Linked DNA regions of Oryza sativa Japonica Group. The protein of the gene in region 1 binds, or shares a complex with, the protein of each later gene. Links are inferred from orthologs where the notes say so. Each region holds a gene or a part of one and is shown on either strand. Other genes may lie near its edges.

Evidence for each region.
Region 2: protein PAF1 homolog (region 1) and protein RTF1 homolog share a complex: the UniProt entries of both Arabidopsis thaliana proteins name them as parts of the nuclear PAF1 complex. The link is inferred for Oryza sativa Japonica Group from reciprocal best matches to the Arabidopsis thaliana genes ELF7 and VIP5.
Region 3: protein PAF1 homolog (region 1) and WD repeat-containing protein VIP3 share a complex: the UniProt entries of both Arabidopsis thaliana proteins name them as parts of the nuclear PAF1 complex. The link is inferred for Oryza sativa Japonica Group from reciprocal best matches to the Arabidopsis thaliana genes ELF7 and VIP3.

What each region holds. Positions count from the first base shown.
Region 1 is NC_089042.1:3,362,496-3,367,116, forward strand, and holds the start of protein PAF1 homolog, read right to left. Parts: upstream 3,072-4,621; 5' UTR 2,803-3,071; coding exon 2,060-2,802; intron 1,415-2,059; coding exon 1,346-1,414; intron 479-1,345; coding exon 371-478; intron 278-370; coding exon 97-277; intron 7-96; coding exon 1-6. UniProt on the Arabidopsis thaliana protein: Component of the PAF1 complex (PAF1C) which is involved in histone modifications such as methylation on histone H3 'Lys-4' (H3K4me3). Involved in regulation of flowering time.
Region 2 is NC_089046.1:21,992,748-21,997,290, reverse strand, and holds protein RTF1 homolog, read right to left. Parts: upstream 2,974-4,543; 5' UTR 2,801-2,973; intron 2,675-2,800; 5' UTR 2,653-2,674; coding exon 607-2,652; 3' UTR 213-606; downstream 1-212. UniProt on the Arabidopsis thaliana protein: Component of the PAF1 complex (PAF1C) which is involved in histone modifications such as methylation on histone H3 'Lys-4' (H3K4me3). Involved in regulation of flowering time.
Region 3 is NC_089045.1:28,461,606-28,465,615, forward strand, and holds WD repeat-containing protein VIP3, read left to right. Parts: upstream 1-1,210; 5' UTR 1,211-1,292; coding exon 1,293-1,640; intron 1,641-3,001; coding exon 3,002-3,625; 3' UTR 3,626-3,842; downstream 3,843-4,010. UniProt on the Arabidopsis thaliana protein: Component of the PAF1 complex (PAF1C) which is involved in histone modifications such as methylation on histone H3 'Lys-4' (H3K4me3). Involved in regulation of flowering time. Required for the expression of the flowering repressor and MADS box gene FLC.

The DNA.
Region 1 (4,621 bases):
AATGGACTGGAATAGCCAACCAAGCTTATATAATATGTATAAAGTAATCCAGCAGAACCTCTGTAACTAAATCTACAGAAGGATGGTTGGCATTACCATTTTTGCTGCATCGGTGCTAAGTGGCGAAATATATTGTGTTTTGACCAGCCAAGACATACCCTTGTCGGTGGGCCTCTCTTTTTTCCTTATACCATCTTTTTTAACAGGGGTGAGAACCTCATCATCACGCAATAGCTCTTCATCTTCTGGAGCCATGGGTGGCTGAACAGGAGGAGTACTAAAAATAGTTTGTGCATAAGTTAGGTATGCTAAAAAGAATCTTCTTATAAGGATAGCAGCTAAGAATACATATATCTGGCTCAATTCATACTTATATACGCTCATATCAAGTAGGTCAAGAGGTATTCCGAGATCCTCGGGGACAATCATTTTGGGTATGTAGTTCTTCTCCAATGAAGTGATTCTGTATTTGGTATATCTGCAAAGAGGTAGCGGATAGCAAAACAAAGAGTGAACACAGACATCCTAAAATAATATTAAGAGCACCATGCACGGCGAAGAACAGTAGAGAGAAACAGAAAAATTCAACACAGACTAATGTTCTGGATAGCGGAATAAAAGTGAAAAGCAGAGGAGGCTATGCAAATTGAAAAAAAAAAATCAAAAGCAAATGGCACAGGACCTCTGTGTAGGTGTAACAAAGGTGCACTGGCAAGCTCTCATACACAATGAAGTAGCTAGTGATAATGACTGTTTTTCTAAGAAACAGTGTGCTTCAGGAACCATACATAAACCAGAATGTGGCAATCATTTCCTGTCAAGAGAATTACACAACTACCAGAAATATTCTAACTTAATTTATCCTTCAAGCCATGAAAAACATGGCTGCTGCATAACGCTCCAATACCACCACTTGACCTACTTCATCAAGGATCATGAAGTGATTTTTTGTGAAGATAAATTCTTCACAAAGATCTAATCGTCAGCATTCACAAAATGACATGGTAAATTAAAGGAACATGGAATAATTCAATTTTCTGCTCGGTCTACTACACCTAAATTCAAGCTGCCCAAATGACCGAAAATTTGGGAGAGTACTCTCTAACAACAAATGAAGGGCACTTAGTGGCAACACACAAAGAAAGGACTTACGCTCTATGATCAGTAAATGACCAACCTCAGTTGTCTTGACACAAAGTTATCTTCAAATCGGAAGATGATAAAGCTAGATAAACAACATTGAAATGGCTTGTACTGTAACAGGTGCATTGCTAATCACCACTACAACAAGCAACAATAGAAATCAATCCGAGAAAAAGGAGAGTAGACAAGTAGTTCTTTATACCGGTCCTTATCCTTGTTCAGTGGCAACCATTTTAGCTGAGAGCTTGGATCTGGCAGCTCATTCCTAAACCTGCACCAATCCATAACAAAAGATTCATCAAAGAGTTCCATTCTGAAATAGAGACATAATCGCAATATTACATTCCATGCACATCAGTTGCTCTGGAAAGTATCTAAATTTGGGAAAATGCCAATCACATCACTACAGCAATACTTTCACCTATATTTTTTTCACAGCGCAAAAGGGCTCCTCTTTTAATTTTATAAAAAGAAATAACTAAAGACAAGCATAACCCATCAACCTCTTAAGAACTATGAACTGTATTCTAAGTGACTATCTCGAATTAAGCATAAAGAACTAAAAGTAAAAAATAAAAATACAATAAAATGGTTGATTTGCATCTCAATGCCACTACACCATATGTTGCCTTGGAACATCTAATAGGCAGCTGCGGCTTGTCACTAGTCCAGCATCACAGCATTTAGCAACCGCGCAGGTTGCTCTTAAGGCATAAACCAACCAAAATACTACCAAACTGTATCTAAGAATAACTTTAAGTTTGATCAAAACACACACTTCACTTGTAAGACCAAAAGTGTTAGCTAAGAATTACTACAGTTTTGCCGAAAACATAAACTTCTACGACCTAATACACTCTCTTTTCTCCAATAGCTACTCTGATAATCACAGAATACAAAACTTTGTGCCACTCACTTGTGTTTGCAGAGGAAGGTCGTCGGCTTCTTGAGGCGATTCTCAAATCTCTCGGCGTTGGGAGCTGCGGCGGGGCGAGTCGCGGTCACCGCTGGCCGGGACCCACCCGATGGCTGCTGATGGTGGCGGCTCTGCGGCTGCTGGGCGGCGCGCACCTGCTGCGTCTTCTGCAGAACCGTGGCCTGTGACTGCCGCATCATCTGCTGGTTCTTCCGATCCTCGGCCCGCTGCTTCTCGTACTCTCGCTTCTTCCGAGCACGCCGCTCCTCCTCCGTCTCCGCCCTTGGCAGCGCCGACTTGCTCTGCTGCTCCCTCGGTGGAGGCGGAGCAAGCTGGGCCTCCCTAGGAGGCGGCTGCGTGGGAGGAGGTGGAGGCGGGGGTGGCGCCGAAGGTGGAGGAGACGGCGGCGGCGGGGGCGGAGGAGGCGGCTGGCTGCTGTTCACGCCGTACGGCGGCGGCGGCGGCGGCGGCTGGTAGTACATCTGCGGCGGCGGAGGCGGCTGCTGTTGCTGCGGGGGACCAGGGCCGAAGTTGAACTGCGGCTGGTGCGGCGGTGGCGGGCCCGGTGGCGGCGGCGGCGGCGGGGCCAGGAACGGCGGCGGCGCCCCCTGCGGCGGAGGCATGTGGCCGTACGCCGGCTGCTGCGGCGGCGGCGGCCCGTACGGGTTCATCGGCGGCGGCTGCGGCGGGAACCCACCCTGCGGCGGCGGCGGGTGCGGCGCGTACGGCCGGTACGACGCCATCCTAGGGTTTCCCCAAACCCTAACCCCAGCGCCGCAGCAGCAGCAGCAGCAACCCCGCGCCCGCGGCGGCTACCTCTCCCACCACCTCGTCGTCGTCGGAAGCTTCTAGAAGGGTCCAGAAGCAGCAGGGACCCACCAGATCTACGCGAGGGGGATCGCGATGCAGAGGAGGAGAGGAAGCTCGCGAGGTGTTCGACGAATCGACGAGGCGAAAGCGGGGGCGGAGAAATTCGGCGCAGGTGCGCGACGCGAGAGCAAAGCCACGCCACGGGGGATTTCGAACACGGGGTGTTTTCCCCTTTTTTGGGTTTGAATTCGGCGGAATTTTGGTTGGATTTGGAATTGACTTGCATTTAACTTTAGTTTTGTACTTTCAGCCCCTTTCATCGTTAGATGATGAGACTATTAAAGGGATGTAAATAATGTTAGTGGCACACGCGTGATATATTCTCAGTTGCGATTGGTTAATGGTTATGCCACATGTTACTTCTAAATATAAACATGATAATAAATAATATGGTCACTTTTTCTTTAATGGAATCTAATTAATCGGAATTAATGCTCTCACCTTCGATGAATGCTTGTCGGTTTTAACCGAAAGTGGATGGGTTTTGATTTTCGACAATCAATTTTTAAGTAACATCAAAGCAAATTGATCTTATTAAGATACTAGAAATATGCCTTTGATTATAGATCTTATTGCACAACTTTGGCACTAAATAACTATCTTATCAAAAATATGTTTGGTGAAGAAAAGCGTATTTTGGTTGCCGTGTGTCTATTTAATCAACGCGTAGCCATCCAGGTATATGTGGGCTCCTACTATCATCTAGGAGTTATGAGGTATGTATACGTCGATTATCACGTATTCTTTGTATACCGTGAACTCTATATAACCACAAGCAATACAAATTGATTCGGTGCATACCAAGAATCACAAAATATTAACGAGCTTAAGGCGCAACTGATGCACATACTCGAGCAAGTGGCAAACAAAATAGGCGAGGGGAGCTATCCTAACATATTTCATAATCGCCATGATTTTTGTAGTTGTTTTCTTTCATCATGCGATGCATTTTTTTTTTGCTTACCCTTATTTTTTTAGTATGTATGCACCTATTACGGTAACACGTGTATTTCTTCCAATCTTAGCATATCATATTGGACAATATTTTTTCTTTATTAGTATCTGCAAACAAACCATGTATTGTACCTCTTGGGTATGAGTTCATTGTGAGAGAAGTCACCTACAAAGTGGGGCAATAACAACGACGAAATATATGACCCGTCATTTAGATAATGCAGGTTATCAAGTTGTTGTTGAAGTTTGTCTTTCTACAACTACACCAAGTTCAGACGTAGCAATTGTGAGTGCGACATCCGTTATCAGTAACGCATTACTTGGCGAACAAGAAGATGCAATAGGTAGGTTAGTCAAGATGCTTAGGGTCGTGAGGAATCAAATCGTTCCTAGAAAAGAAGTAAAAAAAACACTTGATATAGTGAGATTTCGAACACGGGGTGTTTTCCCTTTTTCGGTTTGAATTTGGAAGAATTTTGGTTGGATTTGGAACTGATTTGCATTTAAACTGTGATTTGCATTTAAACTTCAGTTTTGCACTTCAGCCCCTTTCATCGTTTGATGATGAGACTACTGAAAGGATGTAAATAATGTTAGTGGCACACACATGGTATATTCAGTTGCGATTGGTTAATGGTTATGCCACGTGTTACTTCTAAATATAAACATGATAATAAACAGTATGGTCACCTTTTCTTAATAGAATCTAATTAATCGGATTAATGTTTTCTCTTTCAA
Region 2 (4,543 bases), on another chromosome or scaffold:
AGCTTCCTGAGATGCAATGCAGCAGATGCTCAGCTTTATCTTACACAAGATTTTATTATTCAACACAAGCTTTGCCTTCTTCCAGTAGAAATTTTGCTATAGTATCACGGCCATTGCTATTCTTTTTTACATTTTGTAGTATAGAAATAAGAATCTGATAATCAACATTGATATAATGATTTAGACCGAACTAATTAAGGAACATTAGGAACTTTCATAACTTGACACATGTTTTTTTTTTCCTTTTGGCATATAAGTATACAACATAGAATATTTGTACCTCTTAGTCTAGTCTCCCAATATCCGCTGCATAAATGTTTTATGCAGAGCAACAAGGGTAACAAACTAAATAACAGAAGGACTCACTCCACAAATATTAATGCGGAAATTGTCATCAACACAATTCAGGCATACAGGTCCTGTTTATGAAAAGAAAATGTGTAACCTTGCTTGTCTCATCATGTTACATACACTCAAGGCTAAAATGCAAATTGATCTGGACAAGTAGTCACAATGGCATGGTGCCGATCAGCTGATGAACTTTGTGGCCAAAGAGGCAGATGAATCCATCGAACAGCAGGCAGAGGCACAGATAACTTGAGAAGTTCAGAGTAAACCCCGTCTTCTTTTGTAGTCACTGACGGTCAGAGTTAGAGCATGCCTCCTTCCATCATTGTCAGGGACCTTGTAACCCATGGTTGCTTCAATCTTCTGCTTCCTCGCCATGTAACCATCGAAGAGACCCTTGGGACCGCCGAATTCTTCCAGGCCGGCCAATGATATACCGAGCTCAAAATTATGCAGCAAATTCGATTCCGTTCCCAGATCTACAGGTGCATTGGTATCAACCAGCTTACCGGCATCAGCAGCTGCCACTAGAGCCGCTGCAGTGGCTGCTGAACCACCTCGCGGCCCGTTCTTCGTATCTTCATCGCCAGCTACTGCGCTGCCATCGTTCCCGTTGGGGACTTCAGCGCTCTCTCCTTCAGGCTTTGCTGCGTAGTAATTTCTTGATCTTGTCCATCTCCTTGAAAAGGGATCATAACCAGCCTCTCCAACCTTCAAACTCGTGTTAACGGGCTTCATTTCTGATGCGTTCTTGAAGTTCTCAGCACGGTTCTTCTTGTTCATCGCCTCCAACTTGGCAGCCTTCTCATTATTTGATATTGGCTTCGACATCTTCTGCAGCTGATTGAGCTTTGAACGGATCCTTTCTGCTTCAGCTTCATCCCTCCTGGCAATGGCCATATCCAACTCATTCCTCAACCGATCCTTCTCAGCAGCAACATTGATAGGACGTCTGATAGCTGATTTCTTCTCTTTTAGCATCTTCTGTACAGTATGTGCTGAATACACAAAGTTGTAGGCCTGTTGAATGGCTTCTTTCTTCTCCAATACATCCTGCCGAGTCGGTACTCGCACACCATTCTTCTCAGCCACTTGTAGCCACTTCTTGAACTCCTCTTCACTGGGAAAGGAGTCTGATACTTGAGTCATCTGCCACCGAGCAGCATTAGCCTCATTGTCCCACACAACATTGAGGTACTTGCACGTCGTGTAGCCCTCCAACTTGTACTTCCGGTCAGGGTCATTCGCATCCACGTTTCTAACTATGCATAGCCTGTAATCAGGGGTCCCTGATTTTGACTTGCCAATCCCAAGCCGCACAAAGCACCCAGACACAAGGTCCTCAAAGAACGGCTCCATGAACCATTTCACAAGCTTTGATCTCCTGAGGGTTATACTCTTCACATCGTCAAACTTCAGAGGGTCAAGCCTGCTTGGCGATTCATCAAACTCATCATCCCGGGTTTCATCGGTGATCCTCCCCCTGTTATCACCATCATTACTACCGTCGCTGGGCGGGCTTCCGGCCCTGCGCCTCGGCGGAGAGCCGCTCTGCGGGATCAAATCCTTGAACCTGTTACGGTACCCCTCCGGGTCCTGCTGCCTCATCCGCTTGGCCCGCAGCTCGTCCAGCGCGCTCTTGGCGGCGGACCTGTCGGTCCTGGCCGACGACCGCGCGCGGCTCGGCGGCGGCGGAGGGCTGCTGTCCCTCCGCGACTTGTCCGCCTTGGACGACGACGACGACGCCCTCGCCAGCTGCTTCAGCTTGTAGTCGTCGATCCGCGCGCCGCGCTCCGCCAGGATCATCTCCCTGTCCAGCTCCGACATCTTCTCCAGCTGCTCCTTGTCGTCCTCGTCCTTGTACAGGTCGCTCCCGACCGACGGCGCGCTGTCTGAGTCATCGCCGCTGCGCCTCCCCTCGTCGAGCTCGTCGTCGTCGTCGTCGTCGTCATCGTCGTCGCCCTCCTTCCACCCACCACCACCACCACCTCTCCCTCCGCCCTTCTCCGGCTGGTGCCGCTTCTTGAGCGGCACCTGCGACCCCGACGGCGGCCGCTTCCTCGAGAGGGTCGGCGCGGCGTCGGAGTCGTCGGAGTCGCCCCCGTCGCCGCCGCCGCCGCCGTCGTCGTCCGAGCCGCTCCCGCCGGAGTACGACGACCCGCGCCTCCCCCGCTGCTGCTGCTGCGACGACCACCGCTGGCCCTGGCCCGACGACGGCCCCCGTGCCCCGCCGCCCTTCCCCGCCCCCGTCGTCCGCCCCGCCGCCTGCAGCAGCAGATCCTCGAGGTTGTTGTTGTCCGGCATGGCCGATCAAACAGCAACTCTCCTGCACAATTCCACAAACCAAAATCCATCAACCATCGAATCAAGAAACGCGAGCCTATCCGGGATCTGGGACAGCGGAGGGGAGAGAGAGAGAGAGGGAGGGGGGGGGGGGGAAGGCGAGACTCACCTCGAGACAGCAGCAAGAACAGAGTCGGCGAACGCCGGTGGGGGGCGAGAAGGATGGTGGCTAGGCCTGCTCGGTCGCTGGCTCGCCGGGATCGATGGCTGGAGGCGGCGGAGACGGCGGCGGAGGAGGGGAGGAGGAGAGTGCGCTGGCCCTAGATGGGGAAGTTGGGTTGTGAGGAGATTCGGTTGGAGTTATGGGCTTTTTTGTGGGGCTTTACTCTTGGGCCCTTGGGCCGGGAGAGCCCAATGAATCACATTGTAAAATGAGATTTGTGTTTTTTTTAATAAAGAAGAAGAAGAAGAAGAATGTTGTCACATTACTATCTCAGTATGGTTCAGTTTGGGGAGCGTTTGGGGAGCTTATAACGGTTGCAGTTTCTCCTAAAAAATCAAACTCCCTAGCTGTAGATCCCCAAACAGCCTAGATTTTATTCCCGATTCTAAGAATTTGTAACTATAGAATCCAGAAAATAACCAACTGCTTAATCCTAAACTCCGTCAAACAGGTTCTTTCTATGTCTTAGATTTTCATAAGTTGTATTCTAATTTGAAAAGGTTATGCATTGTATTAGTAACTAGTCAAATTTGAAATACTTGTTGAAATTATAATGCATAGATTCAAATTTTGTCATCACAAAGGCCCCGTTCTTTCCTGAGTAATATTCAGATTCTAACTTAGTTTCAATTAGCACGATTTTCAAACTGCTAAGTTGTTCTAATATATTAAATAAATCTATTTAAAATTTGCAATAATTAAAACTCAATTAATCATAAGCTGATGTTTTTTTTTTTGTTTTCTGTGTCCTTAATCTACGTTTTCCCACGTTGCCAACCCCACCAAAATGTTGGTTTCAGTGATACTATTTCATAAAATAGTGATTGTTAGTTTATGTTTTAGTATTACCGTATTGCATACGGTAACTTTTAGTGCAATATTAGTTTGTGTGGTCGTTAAGGGACTTCAACAAAGGATGCAATCTGCATTCAACCAGAGTGAAAGAGAATGTACATTGGAACTATTCTAGTTATTTCAGATATAGATCAACAAACAAAGTACAAAATAAACTATTATGGATACAAGGTTTAAGTATGAAAAATATTGAATTCAGTCCTAAAAGTTGGTTTCATCCACTAGACCACTAGTGCAGGGCTCATTGAATCCTCCTATAATTCCACCATGCACTAGCAATTGCAGGCTAACCTAAGTATACCTAACTAATCTTGTGATTTCTTCTGAAGCTGTGCTTAGCAACTGACTACTCTACAATTCAATAGCTATAAACTGAAAATTTTATTTACAACGAATATTAAACATGGCCATATTACAATGCCGTGGAGCAAACAGCTTCAGTCACAGCAAGCAAAAAATATTATCAGGGCCTACGCTTTTCTCAATATGAAAACATGAGCGACCAAGAAACCTCAACGCTCATCCGGCAAAACCCAACATCAAGTGTGTCACGACTCCATCCACATCTTACCGGGATAAACTTTTTGGAAGCACAGCTGATGTTCTCATCACCACTTTGCCTTGCATGAACATCAACAATCAACGCTCCGCCATTTCCTTCAACTGCAACTACACTGCGGCAGAAATGAATGGCTCCATCATGGGAGAAAGCCACCATTTCTTCCCCAGAGTCCAGCAATATGACATGTTCATTGATACTAGCAGTATGTGCAATGAACTTTCCACAGAAATCAGTTGAACCTCCTGTAATCCTGACCTTGATTGTAGCCTCCA
Region 3 (4,010 bases), on another chromosome or scaffold:
TTCCACGTGATATATTTATACCTTTTCCTTGGATTTGAACTTGTTCTCCCTGGAATGGGAGTTTAATCTTGCAATTCATTTTCTTTTCATTCAAAAATGGAATCTATGACATGTTTGGTTTGCTGTTCAACTAACCCTACCAAAATTTAACACTTTTGGTTTGCATTTGGTTTGCAAATTCTGATAGTCTTGAATGCATTTGGTTTGAAACCTTACCAAATTTATTTTGGTATAGCTTTTAAGAACGCAATTTTCTGAAACCACTTAAATTTGATTGGGTAGCGGTAGTAACAATGGGGCTGACAGGATACGCTGGCCGCTGTTGTCTACAGTCGTTTCCAATGCTATCGCAGGCTCGCATCCATAGGCAGCAAACACAACCGAACACGTCTAATATGTTTGGTAATGTCAAATTTTGATAGGGCTCAAAAGTGAGAACAAAACAAGCATGCATTTCTACTACTTTCTTCGTTTTATATAAAAGACCCTTTGATCTTTTCCTAATCAAACTTTTAACCCAAATATATAGTAACATTTTTTTACCCAAAACAAACACACGACCATAATATATTAAAAGTTAGGTTTAACAAAACTAATCTGGTATTATAGATATTATTATTAATTTTTCTATAAACTTGATGAAACCTAAATAGGTTTGACTTAAAAAACAAAACAGTAATATATGAAGATGGACTTGTTATTCGAGGGGGAAATGATAGTATGGGCATTTACTTTTATCAAATGGGCATGCCAAATCAGCCCAGTTCAGCCTATCCTGAAAGGCCCAGTAAAAATGCAGGCCCAATTACTCCTCAATGCCCAATTCTCTTCTTTACAATTATAAAAATTAGATGTTTTGCCGTTATTTATTAATTTATTCATTAGTTTTAAAATACTGTAGAAGTCGTATAAGAAATCTCTTTAGAAAAGCTCTTATGCTAACTTAAAATGATCGGACTCCTAACTGCGACTTCTGATTTTCTTAAAAGAATATACATCCACGTGAATTCTCACAGCTAATTTCACTTTTAACTAAACCGCATAACAATAATAAGATTAAACTAGACTTCACATGTTGCAACAGACGTGCATTTTTTTTTCTATTTTTTTATTTTAAAATCATCTGAAAAGAAAAGAAAAAAAAAGGAAATTTACTAGTACTCGTATCGTCTTCCTCCTCTCTAAAACCCACGAACCCCTCGTCTCTCTCACTCCCCTCCCCAACCAGATCAAACGCTAGGGTTTCCTCGACTTCGACTTCGTCTTCCTCCTCGAGCAGAGCAGCAGCAGAGATGAAGCTCGCGGGGCTCAAGTCGGTGGACGGGGCCCACGAGGAGTCCATCTGGGCGGCGGCGTGGGTGCCCGCGGCGGACCACCGCCCCGCGGCGCTGCTCCTGACGGGCGCCCTCGACGAGACCGTCCGCCTCTGGGCCCCCGACGACCTCGCCTCCGCCGCCGCCTCCCCCTCGCGGGGCCACGCGCTCGGGGTGGTGTCGCTCGCCGCCCACCCCGCGGGCGCCGTCGCCGCCGCCGTCTCCCTCGACAGCTACGTCCGCGTCTTCGATGTGGACTCGGGCTCCTCCGTCGCCACGCTCGAGGCCCCTCCCTCCGAGGTCTGGGGCATCCAGTTCCACCCCAAGGTAGGTGATGATCCTACCCCCCACCCCACCATCTTTGCTTTGCGATTCACATTCTGAGGTTGCTTGACTAGATTCGTTGTGTGGGGGAGATGTGAGAGGCGTGGGATTTCAGTGTGATAATGTGGTAATTACAGTTGATTCGAGCATCATTTCCATCTGTTGTATGGGTTTGTATAGTTTGGAATATGTCTAGTGTGGTTTTTTTTACCTAGTGTAATGTGTGATCTTTTCTCAGATGTTTTAGTAGATTTTAGTATCATTTTAACTGAAACTTCATGACAAAAGTGTGGCCTTGATTGGCACTTTGTGGTAGTTTTATTAGATTTAAAGAAAATAAAGGAATCTAAAAGAATGTTTTCGCAAAGTTAAGGAATATATGCAAAGTGATCATTTCAATTTTCGAGCAGTTCAAATACGCAATTGATGACTGAGGTTTGGTTGTTAAATTCGGTGGGCAAGTCTGACAGTATATTCAGTTGTTACTGCTTATTATCATTGACCACAGTACCTCACTTTTGTGGAATAGCGCTCCTTCATCTCAACACTGCAACAAATTTAGTAATCGCTTTGAAGAGGATCATCATGTGAAGTATGGTGTTTCATGCATTGCTGGCAAAGTGTGTGCAACATTTACTGCATAGTCGCTTAGACTCTGAGAATAATGTTGAATCCTACCTTTTCGATTCTCTTTCAGACTCAGTAAATTAAGCGACAATTAATTGTGTATCCAAACTCATTGGACATATTTTTATCATAGTTACAGGTTTTGCATAGGTCCTGTTTTCATGCTTCCTTTGTATTTTAAAAATTGATTTGTATTCATGTTTTTCACAATATGCCAGATAATTATCTATTTGGGTAACCCACCTTTCTGTGCAAGATGACTAAACATCACTACGCCCATTGCAATCACTGCCAGAAATGGTTTGTCAAAGTAGCGTATCTGTGGTCAATTCATTTTCATATTGCCTTGTTGTGATTCATCTTGCTAATTTCCAGAACATACTATTTTTCTTAAATGATATTTTGGTATGTACTAAACCTTGCTAGAATTGACCTATGGCCTTAAGACATTATTTATTTTCTTCCATAAACGTGTTGATACAATTATGTCTAATTCAATGAGAATCGGAGATGCTTGTTCAAGCTTGTCTTCTCACTTGCAGTTGAGACGTGTTACGCATTCAGCGTTTTCCACTGTGCTATCTCTATATACCTTTGTTGACAGCATATACTAATTTTTCTAAAACCTGCAGTACCAGGAATTAACCTCCTTTTATGGTAGCCTCACTTTACTGAAGGTCTTCACTTGTTCTAGCTACTGACATTATTACCTCACCCACAAATGCTTTCCTTCACAGGGTAGTGCTCTGGCTGCAGCTGGTGGTGGCAGTGGATCAGTGAAGCTCTGGGACACAGAGAAGTGGAAGCCAATTACCAGCCTTGCTGTTCCGCGTCCAGAGGGAGCTCGCCCTGATAAAACAGGAAGCGGCAAGTTTGTCCTTTCAGTTGCATGGAGTCCTGATGGCAAGCTCTTAGCTTGTGGTTCCATGGATGGCACCATCGCTGTGTATGACGCAGTTCGCATGAAGTTCCTCCACCACCTTGAGGGCCATCACATGCCAGTGAGATCAATGGTGTTCTCTCCAGTGGACCCGCACGTGCTCTTCACTGCCTCCGACGATTGCCACATCCACATATACGACGCCAAGGAGAAGAGCCTCATTGGGGCCATGTCAGGGCATGCGAGCTGGGTGCTGAGCATCGACGTGAGCCCAGACGGCATGGCGGTAGCGACAGGCTCCAGTGACCGCACGGTCCGGCTTTGGGACATCAACACGAGGGCGTCGGTGCAGACGATGAGCAACCACAATGATCAGGTCTGGGCTGTCGCCTTCCGACCACCGGGTGGGACAGGAGTCCGCGCAGGCCGGCTTGCCAGCGTGTCAGATGACAAGAGCATCACCCTGTACGATTACTCATAGTTTTAACACTGCAACCTGCAACTTCATTGTAGTCAGCTGTTTCCAACTTGCATTGGAAAAAAAAACCTGTTGTACAATCCTAATTAAGCTCATGAGTTGCAAGTAGAGTGCGTTTATTTCCAGTATTGGCCTCAGAGTTGCAAACTCGCTCCTTATTGTTCTTTTGCAAGTGATCTCAAGTTGTCAGTTTGAAGTAAAAATATCTTCAATTCTAGCCCGATTAAGTGCTTTTGTCACTGGAATTTATAATCTTTTTTTACAGTCCTCATAAGCCATAATGTGAATATGTGTCTTGCCTAACTCTGAGACGCCTCAGTGTTTATATCTGAAGGTAAACATAGAAATGCGCTATAGAAATGCTTCAGTTTTTCAAAGTGAAGCATCA